2 linked regions of the Stegostoma tigrinum genome follow. The protein of the gene in region 1 interacts with the protein of each later gene in a pairwise test. Links are inferred from orthologs where the notes say so. Each region holds a gene or a part of one and is shown on either strand. Other genes may lie near its edges.

The links. The genes of interacting proteins can lie anywhere in the genome.
Region 2: the proteins of eif4a3 (region 1) and pdcd4b interact in binary tests that used the Homo sapiens proteins (3 or more experiments, as listed by UniProt). The two-hybrid records come from large-scale screens. The link is inferred for Stegostoma tigrinum from reciprocal best matches to the Homo sapiens genes EIF4A3 and PDCD4.

The regions. Positions count from the first base shown.
Region 1 is NC_081362.1:20,269,638-20,278,324, reverse strand, and holds the start of eif4a3 (eukaryotic initiation factor 4A-III), read right to left. Parts: upstream 3,517-8,687; 5' UTR 3,440-3,516; coding exon 3,295-3,439; intron 1-3,294. UniProt on the Homo sapiens protein: ATP-dependent RNA helicase. Involved in pre-mRNA splicing as component of the spliceosome. Core component of the splicing-dependent multiprotein exon junction complex (EJC) deposited at splice junctions on mRNAs.
Region 2 is NC_081373.1:2,184,315-2,192,476, forward strand, and holds the start of pdcd4b (programmed cell death protein 4b), read right to left. Parts: upstream 3,545-8,162; 5' UTR 2,899-3,544; coding exon 2,856-2,898; intron 1-2,855. UniProt on the Homo sapiens protein: Inhibits translation initiation and cap-dependent translation. May excert its function by hindering the interaction between EIF4A1 and EIF4G. Inhibits the helicase activity of EIF4A. Modulates the activation of JUN kinase.

The sequences.
Region 1 (8,687 bases):
ATACAAAGTTTGTTTTGTTTAAAAACATTATATCTTGCAGTTAGTCACTGAGTGTTTAAATTTCTCTTTAAATGTTACTGCTCTCCATGAAGTTCTTAACATATTTTCTGGCAAAGTTAAGGGTGATTCTAATGGAAGGAGATATGACAGGCAACAAAACACTAAGTGACAGCCCTCAGCAGGAAGCCATATCCACCGAGAGAAACTATTAATGCAAGTGTTCACATGCTACAACACCAGTGTATAAGATGGCAGTCATGGAGACCCGTGGCCTCATGTCAGGAAGACTTTGTCTCCGTACGGTCAGGCTTGCATTGCCTTCAGAAACTAAGGTCACAAACGCTTGATTTTTATGCTACTGGAATGTTCTAGGATCCCCAGATGATATATGCAGGATGTCCTAATCTTTTGTTCACTTCTGCGTACGGAGTGTCGCTGAGTCTTTAGCTCCTTAACGTAATGACTTTATATCATTGCTGCCAGAGAAAACCAGAAACATGCAGCTCTTGGATTCAACAGCAGTTGGCCACTTAGCCAATGGAGTCCCTTCCTATCATTCATTAGGAAAAGTTTTGCCTCATCTCTGCCCTAAATGAGATACCTGTTGCCTTGAAATTTTGCTTCCTCATTGTACAGACCCCAGTGGGGGTAAACCTCCTCTTAGTATCTGTGTCAGGGCCTCATAATTTTACTTCTCTCGTTAAGATTAAATCTGATTCTTGCAAACTCCAAATGATATACACCCACCTCCTTAACCTTTTCGCCTAAGGTAACCTTTCCATCCCAGTTCAGTTTGGCCCATATAACTCTGAAACTTTCCTAGTAATGTGCTTGTCCAAATGTCTTAAATATTCTAACTGTACACACCTCTACTACTTCCTCTGGCAGTTCATTCCAGAATTGCAATTCAGCACAATCTGTAACCTCATGGCCCGGCATATCCCCAACTCAACCATTACCATCAAGCCAGTGACTCAACCCTGGTTCAATGGACAGTGCAGGAGGGAAGGCCACGAACAGCACCAGGCATACCTGATGATGAGGTGCCAATCTGGTGAAGCCACCAACAGGACTACTTGCACGCCGAACAGAGAAAGCAGCAAGTGACACTCAGAGCTAAGTGATCCCACAAGCAATAGATCAGATCTAAGCTCTACAGTCCTGCCACATCCAGTCGTGAATGGTGGTGGACAATTAAACAACTCTCTGGAGGGGGCCACTCCACAAATATCCCCATCCTCAATGATGGAAGAACCCAGCATATCAGTGCAAAAGATAAGGCTGAAGCTTTTGCAGCAATCTTCAGCCAGAAGTGCCAAGTGGATGATCCAGCTCAGCCTCCTCTGGTCGTCCCCAGCATTACAGATACTAGTCTTCAGCCAATTCGATTCACTCTATGAGATATCAAGAATCGGTTGGAGGCACTGGATACTGCAAAGGCTATGGGCCTTGACAACATACCGACAACAGTACTGACTTGTGCTTCAGAACTTGCCTCTCCTTTAACTGAGCTGTTCTAGTACAGTCACAACAGTCACAAGCTGTTCCAGTACAGTCACAATCCAACAGTGTGGAAAACTGCCAAAGTACGTCCTGTACACAAAAGGTGGGACAAATCCAACACTGCCAATTACCACCCCATCAGTCTACTCTCAATCACCAGTAAAACGATGGAAGGTGTCATTAAGAGTGTTATCAAGCAGCACCTGCTCAGCAACACCCAGTTTGGGTTCCGCTAGGGCCACTCAGGTCCTGATCTCATTACAGCCTTGGTTCAAACACGGTCAAAAGAGCTGAATTCCAGAGGTGAGGTGAAAGTGACAGCCCTTGACACCAAGACCGCATTTGACTGAATGTGGCATCAGGGAGCCCGAGCAAAACTGGAATCAATGGATAACAGGGGGCAAACTCTCTGGTGGTTGGAGTCATACCTGAAATATAGAATATGGTTGTGGTCGTTGAAGGTCAATCATTCTCAGCCCCAGGACATCTGTGTAGGAGTTCCTCAGGATAGTGTCCTCAGTCCAACCATCTTCAGCTGCTTCATCAATGACCTTCCTTCCATCATAAGGTCAGAAGTGGGGATGTTCACCGATGATTGCACAATGATCAGCACCACTCATGATGCCTCAGATACTGAAGCAATCCGTGTTCAAATGCAACAAGATCTGGACAACATCCAGGTTTGGGCTGACAAGTGGTAAGTGACATTCATGCCACACAAATGCCAGACCATGACTATCACCAACAAGAGACAATCTAACCACCAGCCCTTGACATTCAACGGTGTTACCAACACTGAATCCCCCACTATCAACATCTTGGAGGTTATCACTGACCAGAAACTCAACTGGACTCACCACATAAACACGGTGGCTAGAAGAGCAGGCCAGAAGTGGGAATACTGTGGCGAGTAACTCACCACCTGGCTCCTCAAAGACTGTCCACCATCTGCAAACACACAAGTCACGAGTGTGATGGAATACCCCCTCAGTTGCCTGGATGAGTGCAGCCCCAACATCACTCAAGAAGCTTAACACCTTCCAATTTTAAAACTGTTTCCTACACTGCAAAGGTAGTTACACTTCAACAGTATTTAATTACTTCATGGTTGCTGGCTAGATGACTCTTTTGTGATGTAAAGGTGATGCTTACAGCCAACGTTCAATTCTTGTCCCAGCTGAGGTTACTACGAAGGTCCCACCTTCTCACCTGTGCCTCTTGTCTGACTGGGTGGTTACTCTCATGTTAAAACACCACAGGCATTTCTAATGACACAGCAGCCCTACAGTCCAGCTCTACACCTTTTTTCTTAGCCCTACAGTCCATTGGGATTATGGTAATTACTTTATTTACAGCCAGCAAAATGTCATGGACCTTAATTTCTTAGCAAAAGCTTACCACATCTGCGCCCCCCTCCACACTTGTCCTAAGACCATCTGCTGCTGAAACCCTTTAAAATGCCTTGCATTGTCACCTCCAGATTTGACATTCCAGAACGATCTCATATCCTCCAATCTATGTAAAATTGTAACTGTTTACGGTTTTCCAAACGTGCAAAGCCTTGCTTGTTCCAAATCCTTACCGTTGAGGGCGCTGTCCACTTAATGCACGCAACTGATTAGTGGAAGAAGGAGATGGATTTGCGGGCATCCTGGGCCTCTAACAGAAACACTCTGGCTCCAGGAGCGTGAACAGGGTCCACTCCATCAAGGCCAAGGTCTGAAGCCCTGGTTTCAATCACCTCAGCATCGCGCCGCCGCGAGGCTTCCTGCCAGTCTAGGCCGCACTCACCGTACGCGTAGATACCCCGCAGTAAGTCCTCCCGCAAGCCCATCGTGTCGAAGGTAGGGGTGACATCCACCTCCTCGCTTGTCTCAAACTCCACCTTGGAGATATCTTCCTCCTTCAGGATGCGCTTCCTCCCCGAACTTGCCATGATCCGGTCCCTGGTCACACGAATACCGTCAAACACCGGGAGAGTCCGACAACACGCATGCGTGAACGCCGCCAATCTACGTGACCCAGCTCGTGTACGTCAGCGTGATATCGTCACTGGGCGTGTCGTCGATTTGATTGACAGCAGTTCCTGAGGGATTTGGTCCAGATATTTGAAAAGCGTGAGGTCTTAAGTTCCCATGATAGCCACCTTAATTATCCATTTTTGATCCCTTTTTTCCTATCATTGTGCTGACAGACTTTATGCCGTGAAATATAGCATTGGCTTAAACTTGGATTACTCAAACTGAGCATTGGGAAACCCAAAGTATTCTGAATCCCTACCACAGATTCTGCTTCTGTGCAATTGATTCTAACCTTCACCCTAGCCATGATTCAGGTTGAGAAAGAATAGGAACTGCCGACGCTGGAGAATATCAGATAACAATGTGTGGAGCTGGATGAACACAGCAGGCCAGGCAGCATCAGAGGAGCAGGAAAGCTGACATTTCGGTTCTGATGAAGAGTCTAGGCCCGAAACGTCAGCTTTTATGCTGCTTGACCTGCTGTGTTCATCCAGCTTCACACTTTGTTATCTTGTTTTGGGTCTCGACCCTTCTTTGGAAATGGCAGTTAGAGCTGAAGAGGTCGAGGGAGGGTAGGAGGCCTTGGGGTGGTGTCTAGGAGGATGGGGTGTGTTGGAGGTGGGAGAAGGGGTCCGTAGAGGGGGGGATAGACTCACGATTAAAGAAATAAGCACAGAGGTGGTGGAAACACTGTTCAACTTCCAGGCATGAGCAATATTCATTGATGTTTGGATGGAGGGGGATAGAGGTGAGTCCTTTGCTGAGGAATGACCGTTCATCTTCAGTGAGGGGGAGGTCCAGGGGGATGGTGAAAACCCAGCAGGGCTGGGGCTGCTTTTGACTATAGACTTGCTAGCTGTAGGGGCGGTGGGCAGAGCGGCGTCAGCGGTGGATGGAGTGGCATTGGTGTCGGTAGACTGTCCTTGATGTTTGCAATGCTACCGGTTTCTCAAGAAGGGTCCAGAGCTGAAACATCAGCATTCCTGCTCATCTGATGCCGCCTGTCCTGCTGTGTTCACCCAGCTCCACACCTTATTATTTATGATTTAGGTTGAACTGGAATATTCACAGCCTCAGTGTCATGATTGACCATGGCTAAATATCAGACCTTAGATCCTTTCCATTGCTTGTAGAAAGCTTACCACATCTGCGTCCCCCTCCACACTTGTTCTAAGACCAGCTGCTGCTGAAACCCTTTACAATGCCTTGCATTGTCACCTCCAGATTTGACATTCCAGAATGATCTCATATCTTCCAATCTATGTAAAATTGTAACTGTTTACGGTTTTCCAAACGTGCAAAGCCTTGCTTGTTCCAAATCCTTACCATTCTTTGATCTCATTGGCTTCCTGTCTTTAAGGTTTGAAATTTAAAAATTATAATCCTTGTATTAAAATCTTCCATGGCCTCACTCTTCCAATCAATTGGAAATGCTGTACCTCATAAAACTATGCTCAGACTTTGATCCTCTGACTCTAACCTCTGTGAATCTCTCCCCCTCAACTTCTCAAAAACAGCAGCGAGGGTCCTATTTACTGAAAATTGTTAGGAAGGGGAGGTTGAACCTTTCTGATAACTAAAATTGAAAAACAAGCCTCCAATCTGTTACAGCAGGAGTCGCAGTCCCTTTCTAATGATTAAACCCAAAACACCCAGAGAAACTCGCCTCACCTCTCCTAATCTGTTAAACTGTTACGGACCCGGGGAGGTTAAGTGAAAGAAAATTCCTGATAGTCACTTTATAAATAACAAATAACAATTTATTTATTTAACTCTAACAATAACATACTGAACAGTTGCTCCACCCCCAACTTCTAACATTTCACTAATTGAACAAAATTCTACTGAAACACTTCAAATAAACACAAGTCCCACTTATATAAACCCAATTAATAAAACAGTAAATTAAAACTTAATCTCTCCAAGTTCACACAGACTGCATCTTCATAGAATTCCAACAGCATGGAAACAAGCCCTTCAGCCCAACAAGTCCACACTGACACTTGGAGCATCCCACTCAGACCCATCCCCCTATAACCCACCTAAGCTATACATCGCTGAACACTATGGACAATTTAGCATGGCCGATCCACCTAGCCTGCACATCTTTGGACTGTGGGAGGAAACTGGAGCACCCAGAGGAAACCCACACAGACACAGGGAGAACATGCAAACTCCACACAGTCACCCGAGGGTGGAATTGAACCCTGGTGCTGTGAGGCAGTAGTGCGAACCACTCTACCACTGTGCCATGTTATCCATTGTTAATAGTGATCTGAACTTTGTCTTCATACAGCTTTCAGAGCCCACAAAACTGTACCTAATATCTGGGTTAAAGTGATAAGATGAAATGACACGCTATTGAGAATGGAGTGAAGGGTGGATTTGTGTGTCTTCCGGAACACTCTGCCTTCTCCAGCATTTCCTCTTGATTTCAACTCACAAACATCTTTCTTCTGCAGATCTTGCTGTCATAGATGTTTTCTGTGTAATTTCCTAGTTCAGACATCCATTTTAACTCTTAAGTACTGTAAAAAACGTAATCTTTTAAAGGGACAATGCAATACTTTTCCCCATTTTACAATTTTACACACACCAATGTTGTAACAAAATCTCTTCCCAATCATCTCCGCCCATTCATTTCAATTAGGAGATTGGTTGCCCCTTTCCTAATGTCATGACAATTCTAATGTTATAATGTCTTAAGACTGATATTTTGCTTTGCAAAAGTGTTCAATTTACGAATAGGTAGAGGAAGTTGCAGCTTTGGTTTTATGAAGGTTTCAACTCACTCAGAGTTGAAGGAACAAAATAAATTGATGTAAGCTAGGCCTGCACCTGAAGCAAAGATATTTGGATGTGAATGTAGGGGTATGGTTAGAAAATTTGCAGATGACAAAAATTGGTGGTGAAGTGGACAGCAAAGAAGGTTACTTCAGAGTACAATGGGACATTGATCAAATGGGCTGATGGGCTGAAGAGTGGCAGATGGAGTTTAATCTGGATAAATGTGAGGTGTTACTTTTTGTTAGGGCAAATCAGACCATGACTTACACATTTAACGCAAATGTCCTGGGAGAGTTGTCCAACAAAGGGACCTTGGAGTGCAGGTTTATTCTTCCTGAAATTGGATTCCCATGTAGGCAGGGTAGTGAAGAAGGTATTTCATACACTCGTCTTTATTGGTCAGTGCATTGAGTGTAGGAGTTGGGAGGTCATGTTGTGGCTGTGCAGGACATTGGTTATGCCACTTTTGGACTACTATGTTCAATTCAGATTCCCTTGCTTTATGAAAGATGTTGTTAAACTTGAAAGGGTTCACAAAAGATTTATAAGGATGTTGCCAAGGCTGGAGGGTTTGAGCAATAGGGAGAGACTGATTAGGCTGGTGCTGGAGCATCATAGGCTGAGGGGTGACCTTATAGAGATTTATAAAATCATGATGTGCACGGGATAGGGTGAATCGTTAAGGTCTGTTCCTCAGGCTAGAGGGTCCAAAACTAGAGGGCAGGTGTTTAATGTGAGAGGGGAAAGAGTTAAAAGGGACCTAGAGGGCAACTTTTTCACTCAGAGTGTGGTGCGTGTGTGGAATGAACTGCCAGAAGAAGTGGTGAAGACTGGTACAATTACAACATCTAAAAGACATCTGAATGGGTATATGAATAGGAAGGGTTTAGAGGGATATGGGCCAAAAGCTAGCAAATGAGCCAAAATTAATTTAGGATATTTGGTCAGCATGGAAGTGTTGGACCGAAGGATCTGTTTCTGTGCTGTGCACCTCTATGACAATACTAATTTTATTGTGAGGATACAGTGGGAGCTCATGCTCAGTTGAAGAAAGAGTTGGGAGGGGAAAAGAGATTGGAAGATCTGCCTACCTTGGAGTTAGAAGATAAAATTTACAGGAAACTAACTTGGCAAAAGCAATTTAGCTTGGCATCAGGCAGAGAAAGGCAGCTTGTCAAGAACTGTAAAGCAGCTGTTGGACCAAGAGTTGTGCAGAAACTGAGAAAAGACAGGGTGAAAGCAACCTGTATTAGAGCAAATACTGGGGATGCTGGAGATTTGAAATGAAATCAAAGTGCTGGAGAAACAGAACAGGTTAACCTGAAAAAGTCATAGTGAACTTCTATGACTTTTATGCAGAGAGAAAGAGTTTATCAGAACTGCTAAGTTACGCCAACGCTTTCTGTTTTAATTAAACCAGCTTCTGTCTGTCCAAAAAAAACAACAGGAGCAGAAAGGCAAATGGAACTAGGATGTTCTGATTTTTAAATTGATAAATACAAAAGCTATGAGGTTCAAGGTTGAGCTCAGAAGTTACCAGTTATGGTTTTTTGTAGAAATGTTGGACAATCACCAAACCACAAGCAAACTCAAGGGTCCTCATTGCATCTCATAAGTTGGAGATTAGCTGGCACACTAAGCAGAAGACAAAGAGAATTCCAGAGAGCTTTGCCTTTCTTGGTTTGTTTCCAGATGAAGAGGTGAATGAACCCTCAAAATTGTGAAATTAAAGCAGTAAAAGGGGGACTGGATAAGAACTGATGATTAAAAGTCTTGACAAACTATGGTGTTAAGATGCTTGCTTTGTTTTTATATATACAGTAAAGTCTGTATTGTTTTAAAACATTAAATCGTTTGGTGTAGTTCTTCCAGTAACTCACTAGGTGTTCAGATTTCTCTATGGAACTTTCAACACCAATATCCTCATCATCCGGTAAAGTTGTGTGTTTATATTATAAATGCCAGTTGCCTTACATTTTAATTTTAAAACGATTGTTCCCATGTTGCTAAGCAGTTACAACTCAACAGTATGTAATTACTTTATGGGTGCTAAAAGTGTTCTTAAAGTGCAAGTTCAGATAGGAATAAAAAAATAAATTAAGCAACTTGCATACATCAAAATGAAACAGCAAAATGAAATGAGGGCTGAAGATTAGCCAGGATAGGAGGAAGAACTCCTGTGTTGTATTTTTAAGAAAAAGCATCATAGGATCTTTTACACTAAATAGAGATGGCTGATTAATCTTTAGTTTTAGTTTATATTGTGAAATAGACTTAGAATCATAGAATCCCTATCAGCCCATTGAGACCATACCAAGTCTCCGAAGAGCGAGCTGCCCAGACAATCCCCTACTATTCTATCCCTGTAACCCTGCA
Region 2 (8,162 bases), on another chromosome or scaffold:
GGTTGGGGGGAGATCTAATAGAAACTTACAAGTTAATGTATGGCTTAGAAGGGATAGACTCTGGGAAGTTGTTTCCGTTAGGCGAGGAGACTAGGACCCGTGGGCACAGCCTTAAAATTAGAGGGGGTAAATTTAAAATGGAAATGAGATGACATCTCTTCAGCCAGAGAGTGGTGGGCTTGTGGAATTCATTGCCACGGAGTGCAGTGGAGGCCGGGAAGTTAGGTGCCTTCAAGGCAGAGATCGACAAATTCTTGATCTCACAAGGAATCAAGGGCTACGGGGAGAGTGCAGGGAAGTGGAGTTGAAATGCCCACCAGCCCTGATTTAAATAGCGGAGTGGACTTAATGGGCCGAATGGCCTTACTTCCACTCCTGTGTTTAATGGTCTTATGGAGAAATTTCAAATTCCCATTAAATGAGGCAGCCTGCTTTTGTATAAACAGCTTTGACAAAATAACCTTAACACTACCTACTAACCTCATCCCGCCCCCTTGACCTGTCCATCCTCCCCAGACTGACTTATCCCCTCCCTACCTACACTCACCTCTACTGACTCCATCCCCGCCTCTAACTTCTGTCTCATCTCCACCTATCTTCTCCTCTATCCATCTTTTATCTGCCTCCCCCTCTCTCTCTCCCCCTTTTCTGAAGAAGAGTCTAGGCCCAAAACATCAGCATTTGTGTTCCTAAGATGCTGCTTGGCCTGCTGTGTTCATCCAGCTCCACACTCTTATCTCTTGACAAAATATGGTGTTGTGCAGAAGCCGGTTCAGACAGCAATTAACAAAAACCACCACAAAGATTCACTCCCACTACCTGTAACACAGTGGCAATAGTGTGGATCATCTACAGGACGCACTGAAACAACTCACCCAGGTTCCTGTGATAGCTCCTTCCAAATCTGCATCTTTCTAGGTAATAGAGGTCAAGGACAAAAAAATACATAGGAGCACCTTTGATCATCAGCTGCAGGTCCCCCTTTGAGCCTCAGGCCATTGAGAGTTGGAAATTCATCAGCATTCATTCGGGTAAAATCCTGGAATTTCCTTCTCTAACAGCACTGCGTGTACCGGAACATCATGTACTACAGCGACTTGACAATGCAGCTCATCACTACCACCAAGGGAAATCAGGGATGGGCAACAGATGCTGGCATAGCCAGTGAGGTTCACTTCCAATGAATGGATAAAAAGAGAAAAGTCAATATTAGGTGAGGAACAAAAAGCTTGGTCAAACCGATAAGATTTAAGGAGTGCACGAGAAGATGGCGAAGGCAGAAACAAAAAAGGCTTAGAAAGGAAAATCCAGAATTTAGGGTCTAAAAAGCCAAAGGCTCAGCCATGAAGGCACGTTCAAGAAGAATACAATGTTAGTGAAGGGCTGTAAAGATAGAATAAACAATAGAGGTAATGGGTACAGCATCACACAGGGAGTTAATCAGTGAGATTTTTTCAGAGGTCTTAGGACTACAGAACAATATATAAATGTTAGGAAATGAAACAAATGAATGGAACTTGGTGCAAAGCATTGGTACAATCAGGTGTGGAGGTACTAAAATACATGAAGTTGGGAAGCAGTGAAAATGGAAGATTACAGTCTTGAAATTTCCAGTGTTTAACTGGGCTCGATGCCAGGCAAGCAGACAGGGAGCACATGATGAAGTGCAAAAGACTGACAAGAGACATGACCCTCTGTCACAGAATACAAAACTAAATTAGCTTTAAGAGCCATGCCTGTCCTTCATTTTAAAATGGTTAGAAGATCAATCCCTCAACCCATCAGTCCTATTATTTGTCCAGCAGTGACAGACATGAGTTGCTACACCTGCTGGGAAACAAGAGCTATACATGTCATGAATACATCATACGATCTGTTTCACCCAATCACAACATTATCACAATATATTAAAATAAAATGTTATTAACATAAAAGAATCTCAATTACAACAAACAACTTGGTTCAGATAGTTGCAAATTCCAGTCTACATTCAGGAATTGGGCCAATATTACCACGCATTATTGAAGTAGCACTGTATGGTTAGAGGGGAGACCAATTTACCTCCTCCAGTTTACGATAAAAAGGTCGCGTGATATTATTCAAAGACAAAATACAATATTCTGGAGAACTAACGCCTTCAACCAAAAGCATAACAGCCATCACGGCAATTACTGCAACCTGTATTACATAACAGATACAGCAGACTTTTACTTTAAACTGCAAAGTTCTTCAATACAAGGTTGCTTTCCTCCCACAAATGCCACAAACAACTTTGATATATAATGCAAGATCCCCTGTGGTGCACAAAGTTCATTTTAATTCTTGAAAAAAAAGGCCAATTTTTGTTTTGTTTTGGAAGGGGGGAGGAGTGATGAGAGAAATTACCAACTCGTTAAATCTTAAAATCCTAGATTAACACTTAAGTAAACGTGTGCATCATCGCGGCGATTAAAGGGTTAAGAACATCAATACCTTCCGAAACAAAACAGTGACTGAAGAAATTCAATTCTCAAAACCACCAAATACACACTGACTAGGAAACACACTAAAGAACAGTAACACTCCATCACAGCACGTGGCCATGCAAGATGCTTCCCTGGAACTTTTAAAGTGGAAGTACTTCTGGAAGAAATATGGCAACACACGCGGCATTTGAAAACAAAACAAAAAACTTATTCGAAGAGGTGCAATGAGGGTTAAAGCACACGAAAATTAAGAATTTCAGTCCCAAAATAGATATTCGCCTTGCACATCGTGATCACAATACTACTTGTTATTAAAAAATCATTTTAAATAGAATCTCTGCGTTCAAAAAGCCATTGCAATGAACATCCAGACCTCCTGTGTCTCAGTACCTGCTGCAGAGTTTCTGAATTTGCTCTCTGCCTCTGTTGCCATGTTGCTGGAAGGTCTGAGCCCTAGATCTCAGGGAGTGGAGTGTGTGTTTTCACAGGGAGTGACAGCGAGGGCTCACAGGGTGGTGTGCTGAGGGGGAACTGGAGTCTCAGGAAGTGCGAGACAGCGAGTGTTGTCTCCGAGTGTGGGCGGAGGCACTGATTTCCAATGGGAGAGTGGGCGGAGAGCTGCCTCGGGGAGGGCGAAGGGAGCGATTTCTCGGGGGGGGGGGAGAGAAGGTGTGTGGGTTTGGTTCGGTTCAGGAAGTGAAAGGTGATCGCTGTATCTGGGAGGGGTGGTCTTCATACGGTGATGGGGGCTGTTCCCCTCGGGGTGGAGGGTTTTGTCTCTGTTTCTTGTCCCTGTGGGGGAAGGGAGTTTTATCCCTATGGGGGTGGGGGGGAAGGGATTGTCTCGGGGTGGTGGGGGGTGTCCCTGTTGGGGGAGGGTTTTGTCCCGATGGGGGAACAGACAAGTTGTCTCACAGGGTGGGGGTTTTGACTCAGGAAGTGGGTGGGGTGGGTGACTGTTGAGGGGATGTGGAAGGAATTGTCTCGGGTAGGGGGGGTTTGTTCCTGTAGGGGAGGGGAGTAGTTTTCTCACGGGGGGGGTTTGTCCCTGTGGGAAAGGGGTTTATGGGTTGCTTTGTGCCTGTGTGGGTGAAGGGGGTTGTCTCGGGGGGGGGGGGAGGGAGAAGAGGTGTTTTGACCCTGTGGGGGGGGGGGAAGGGATTGTCTGACGGGGTGTGGGGGTTGTTTTGATCCTGTGGGGGGGAAGAGAGGGATTGTCTGACGGGGTGTGGGGGTTGTTTTGACCCTATGTGGGGGGGGGGAGGGATTGTCTGACGGGGTGTGGGGGTTGTTTTGACCCTGTGGGGGGAGGGATTGTCTGACGGGGTGTGGGGGTTGTTTTGACCCTGTGGGGGGAGGGATTGTCTGACGGGGTGTGGGGGTTGTTTTGACCCTATGTGGGGGGGGGAGGGATTGTCTGACGGGGTGTGGGGGTTGTTTTGACCCTGTGGGGGGAGGGATTGTCTGACGGGGTGTGGGGGTTGTTTTGACCCTGTGTGGGGGGTGAAGGGTTGTCTAAGGGACGATGGTTCCCCCGGGGCCTGTATCTTTCCCCCTGAACCCACACCCGCCCCCTCAGCGCCTCCCACTTGAAGGAAAACAAATCGGTTGTTTAATTTGAACGGAGCCCCTGAGGGAGGAGAATGACCCAGTGACTGGAATCCTGCGGCAGTTCCTCTCTCCGACCTCCGGGAATCCTCAGGCGGCGGCGATCCTACCCCCGGGCTCGGGCACTCCTCTGGAGCGCAACCCCCCTTCCAGTCGCTTCGAATTGTTCCCCCCCCCCCTTGGGACACGTGGCTAGCAACAGCATTGTTCATTCGCCACCTTCGCCTCAGGTCCGACCAATGGCAGCCAGGTCCATTCGACGGCGGCCGGCCCAACGACCAATCAACGCCAAGTACTGTTCGGCTCCCCCTCAATCCGAGGCTAGTCTCAGTGCTGCCACCTGCCTTGGAGGTCCTGCCCGATGGTCTCCCAGCGAAAGGTAATGGGAGCTGCAGATGCTGGTGAATCCGAGATAACAAAGTGCTCCTGAGATGCTGCTTGGCCTGCTGTGTTCATCCAGCCTCACATTTTATTATCTTGGAATCTCCAGCATCTGCAGTTCCCATTATCTCTGATAACAAAGTGTAGAGCTGGATGAACACAGCAGGCCAAGCAGCATCTTAGGAGCACAAAAGCTGACGTTTCCTATTCCCTCCCTAACTCTCCACCTACACTCACCGTTACTGGCTCCATCCCCGCCTCTTTGTCTCCTCTCCACCTATCTTCTCCTCTATCCATCTTCGATCCGCCTCCCCCTCTCTCCCTATTTATTTCAGAACCCTCTCTCCCTTCCCCTTTTCTGATGAAGGTTCTTGGCCGGAAGCATCAGCTTTCCTGCTCCTAAGATGCTGCTTGACCTGCTGTGTTCATCCAGCTCTACACCTTGTTATCTTGGTCTCCCAGCTAGGATCCATGGCTGGGTGCACTCAGTGCTGGCTCCTGGTTTATAGGACATCCTCAGAGGACTCATGCTGCCACCCTTCTCAGATGTGATGTCAGGCGTGCAATGCCTTGCCTGTCAGACATTGGGAGATGTAATTATCATTTGGATCATCTGGTTCCTCAGGAAAGGAGAAGTAAACCAAACGGAATTCTTTAGTGAGGTGCCGGTTAATACTCCACTTGGTTTTAGGGAGGGTGTCACAGTGACTGGGTCTGCTGTGGTTGACATCTCATTCTCCAGCACCAGGCCTGTAATCCTTTAGTCTGTGTGTGTGTTATTCATCTCAAAATGTTTTTACACCCTCTCATTGCCTCAAAATACATGCTAATAGTTTTCTGCATGATTTGCAAATACTTTTGATTTTGTAACTATAGGAAGGCTGTGAGAAATGTCAAAATTCTGATGTTTTGCTTTTTCTCTGTAAAGACTGTACACAGCTGATTTAAAAACTTTGTATGTACCTACAGATGATTTTTAAAATGAATAAGGTACATTTGGGCAAAAAAATCTTGAGGGTTTCTGCATCAACCATCAGTCAGTTCCAGATTCCCACCACCGTAGATGAAAATATTTTCCTACTTAAATCTTCTCTAAACCACCTGCTCCTTTCCTTAAAAACTGTGCCCCCAGTTTCTGATCCCTGGACTAAGGGAAAACATTTCTCCTTACCGTCCCGTGTGTGCCCCTTAAAACTTTGTACACCTCAGTCAGATTCCCCTCAGCCCTCCCTGCTCTAAACCGGCTGCTTGTCTGTCCCAGTCTCTCTGGATCTCTCCATCCCAGGGAACCTCCTAGTGAATCTCCTCTGCACCCTGTCCAGTGCAATCACATCCTTCCTATAGAGCAGCAACCAGACCTGCACACAGTACTCCAGCAGTGGCCGAACATTACATACAGCTCCATCATTATCTCCTCACTCTTGTTTTTAGTGCCTTGACTCATTAAGGCAAGTGTCTTACATACCTTTTGTTGTGGCGCAGTGGTAGTGTCCCTGGCTCTGAGCCATGAGCCTGGGGTCCCAATTCTGCCTGCTCCAGAGGTATGCCATAACAAACCTGAACTGGATGATTAAAAACATTTCCCACATGCCATTCTAGTTGAGAGAATGAAGAGAAGATTTCAATTCTTACTAGAATGGCAGCAAATAGAAGGACTTCAATGGTGTGGGAAGACCAGAGAAGCTGGAATTTTTAAAAAAAACCACACAGACTGCTTCAAATGCTCAGGAAGTCAGACAGTACCTGGAGAAAAACAGTGAATGTTGCACGATGATAATCTGTACTGTCCCACTTGAGTTTGTACCCTGGTCCAAAAAAAATCAGAAAATCATAATTGTCACAATCCAGAAGGAAGTCATTGAGCCCATTGAGCTGAAACAAAACAAAACAGAAGTTGCTGGAGAAAGCTCATAGGACTCCAAACATTAACATGGTTTTCTCTCAGGATGCTGCCAGACCTGCTGAGTTTCTCCAGCAGTTTCTGTCACTGCTGGAGTGTTCACTTGCTAACGAATATGGCTTATGGGCTTCAAATGGGTATGACAGGTCAGCACAACATCGAGGGCCGATTATGATAATCATCAACTATTATTTGCTGTATCCAAATTATTACATTGCTCGCAACCAAAAGATGTGTGAACCAGCTTGCCACCACCATTTGCTTAAAGAAGTTTTACTTCTGTCTGCTATAAACTCTTACCTTAAATCAATGTGTGCTGTAATGTCCTATGTTCTATGAGCAGTGCTTGAAAACTTTGACAATAGGTCACACCCAAATAATATCCCTAACCAGGATTACAGGAGGCAGTCAGAATAAAACTCACAATATTTTATGGTATCCAGCATACCTCTTCTGATTACATGAAACAACTGCAGGTCATTACTGGTTCATACTTTTCCCCAAACTGCCTTAACTTTTCCACGTTATCCCTGCTTTTCCTTTGTTCCTATCTTGGCCCTATCTCTGTACATTCACTACAGGCTTGCAAACCCTTGATAGGCATCAGGATAATTCATTGGTACTGGCAAGTGAGCTGATTTATCAATTTATTTATTTATTTGAGCTGATGTCCAAGGGTGAATTTATTTCCGTTCTTGGATCCCTTTTTCAGGCATGTTACTGTTGAGCACTGCTGTGTTGATTGTGCAGCCTTTGGGATATCCAGTTGCTACATTGAGAGGCAATATGCCAATGCAGGCTGTTTCTTTCTTGTTTTAATTTCCTGTCAATGTCCACTGGTACCATTGAAGAGTATTCAGCAGACATTGAAAGCCAGATTTTATCTGCCAATGGGCAACCATGCCAGAGAGTTAATGTCCTGCTCTTCAAACAGAAAAATATCCAGTTGACTGTAATACCCAGGCCTGATTTATGTTCCAGCAAATTAATTAAAAATGGTTAAAATCTCATCTGAATTTTTTTATTGCAACAGCCTACTGTGAAGCCTCAATTGAAGAGCTGACCTATAGGATACCTATCAATTGTTCACAAATTACTTCATTGTCCACTGCCATTTCCCAAATAGATATTGTGCTCGAATCCTGTTGAATCTAAACAACTAGATTATTAGCAACACAAATTCTCCATAATTAACTCAGCATTTCACATTGGCTTTTTCATCACCCACTTTCCAAATTGCGCTTGAGCATTGTTTGGGAATTATAATTCCTCATGCTCAGACAGGTCTTGGCCTTGCTGCAGGCAGTTGAAAGCATCTAGTGTTTTCTCAGAGATAGAAAGAACTGCTGATCCTGGAGTCAGAGATAACACAGCGTGGAGCTGGAGGAACACAGCAGGCCAGGCAGCATCAGAGAAAAGTATGCAGGCACTGCTCACATCTTTCATGGCCAAGAACATCTGCTTTCCTGCTCCTCTGATGCTGCCTGGCCTGCTATGTTCCTCCAGCTCCACACTGTGTTATCTTGCGTTCACTCAGTGTTGCTTTGAACTAAATGTGCCATAAGTAGAAGAATCCAAACTAAGTAAACAAGCCCATATAGTCACGGAAATAATTAACTCAGAACCAAAGAAACCTACAGCACAGGAACAGGCCCTTTGGACCTCCAAGCCTACGCCGATCAAGATCCTCTGTCTAACCTGTCATCTATTTTCTAACGGTCTGTATCCCTTTCCTCCCTGCCCATCCATGTACCTGTCCAAATATATCTTAAAAGACACTATCGTGTCTGCGTCTACCACCTCCGCTG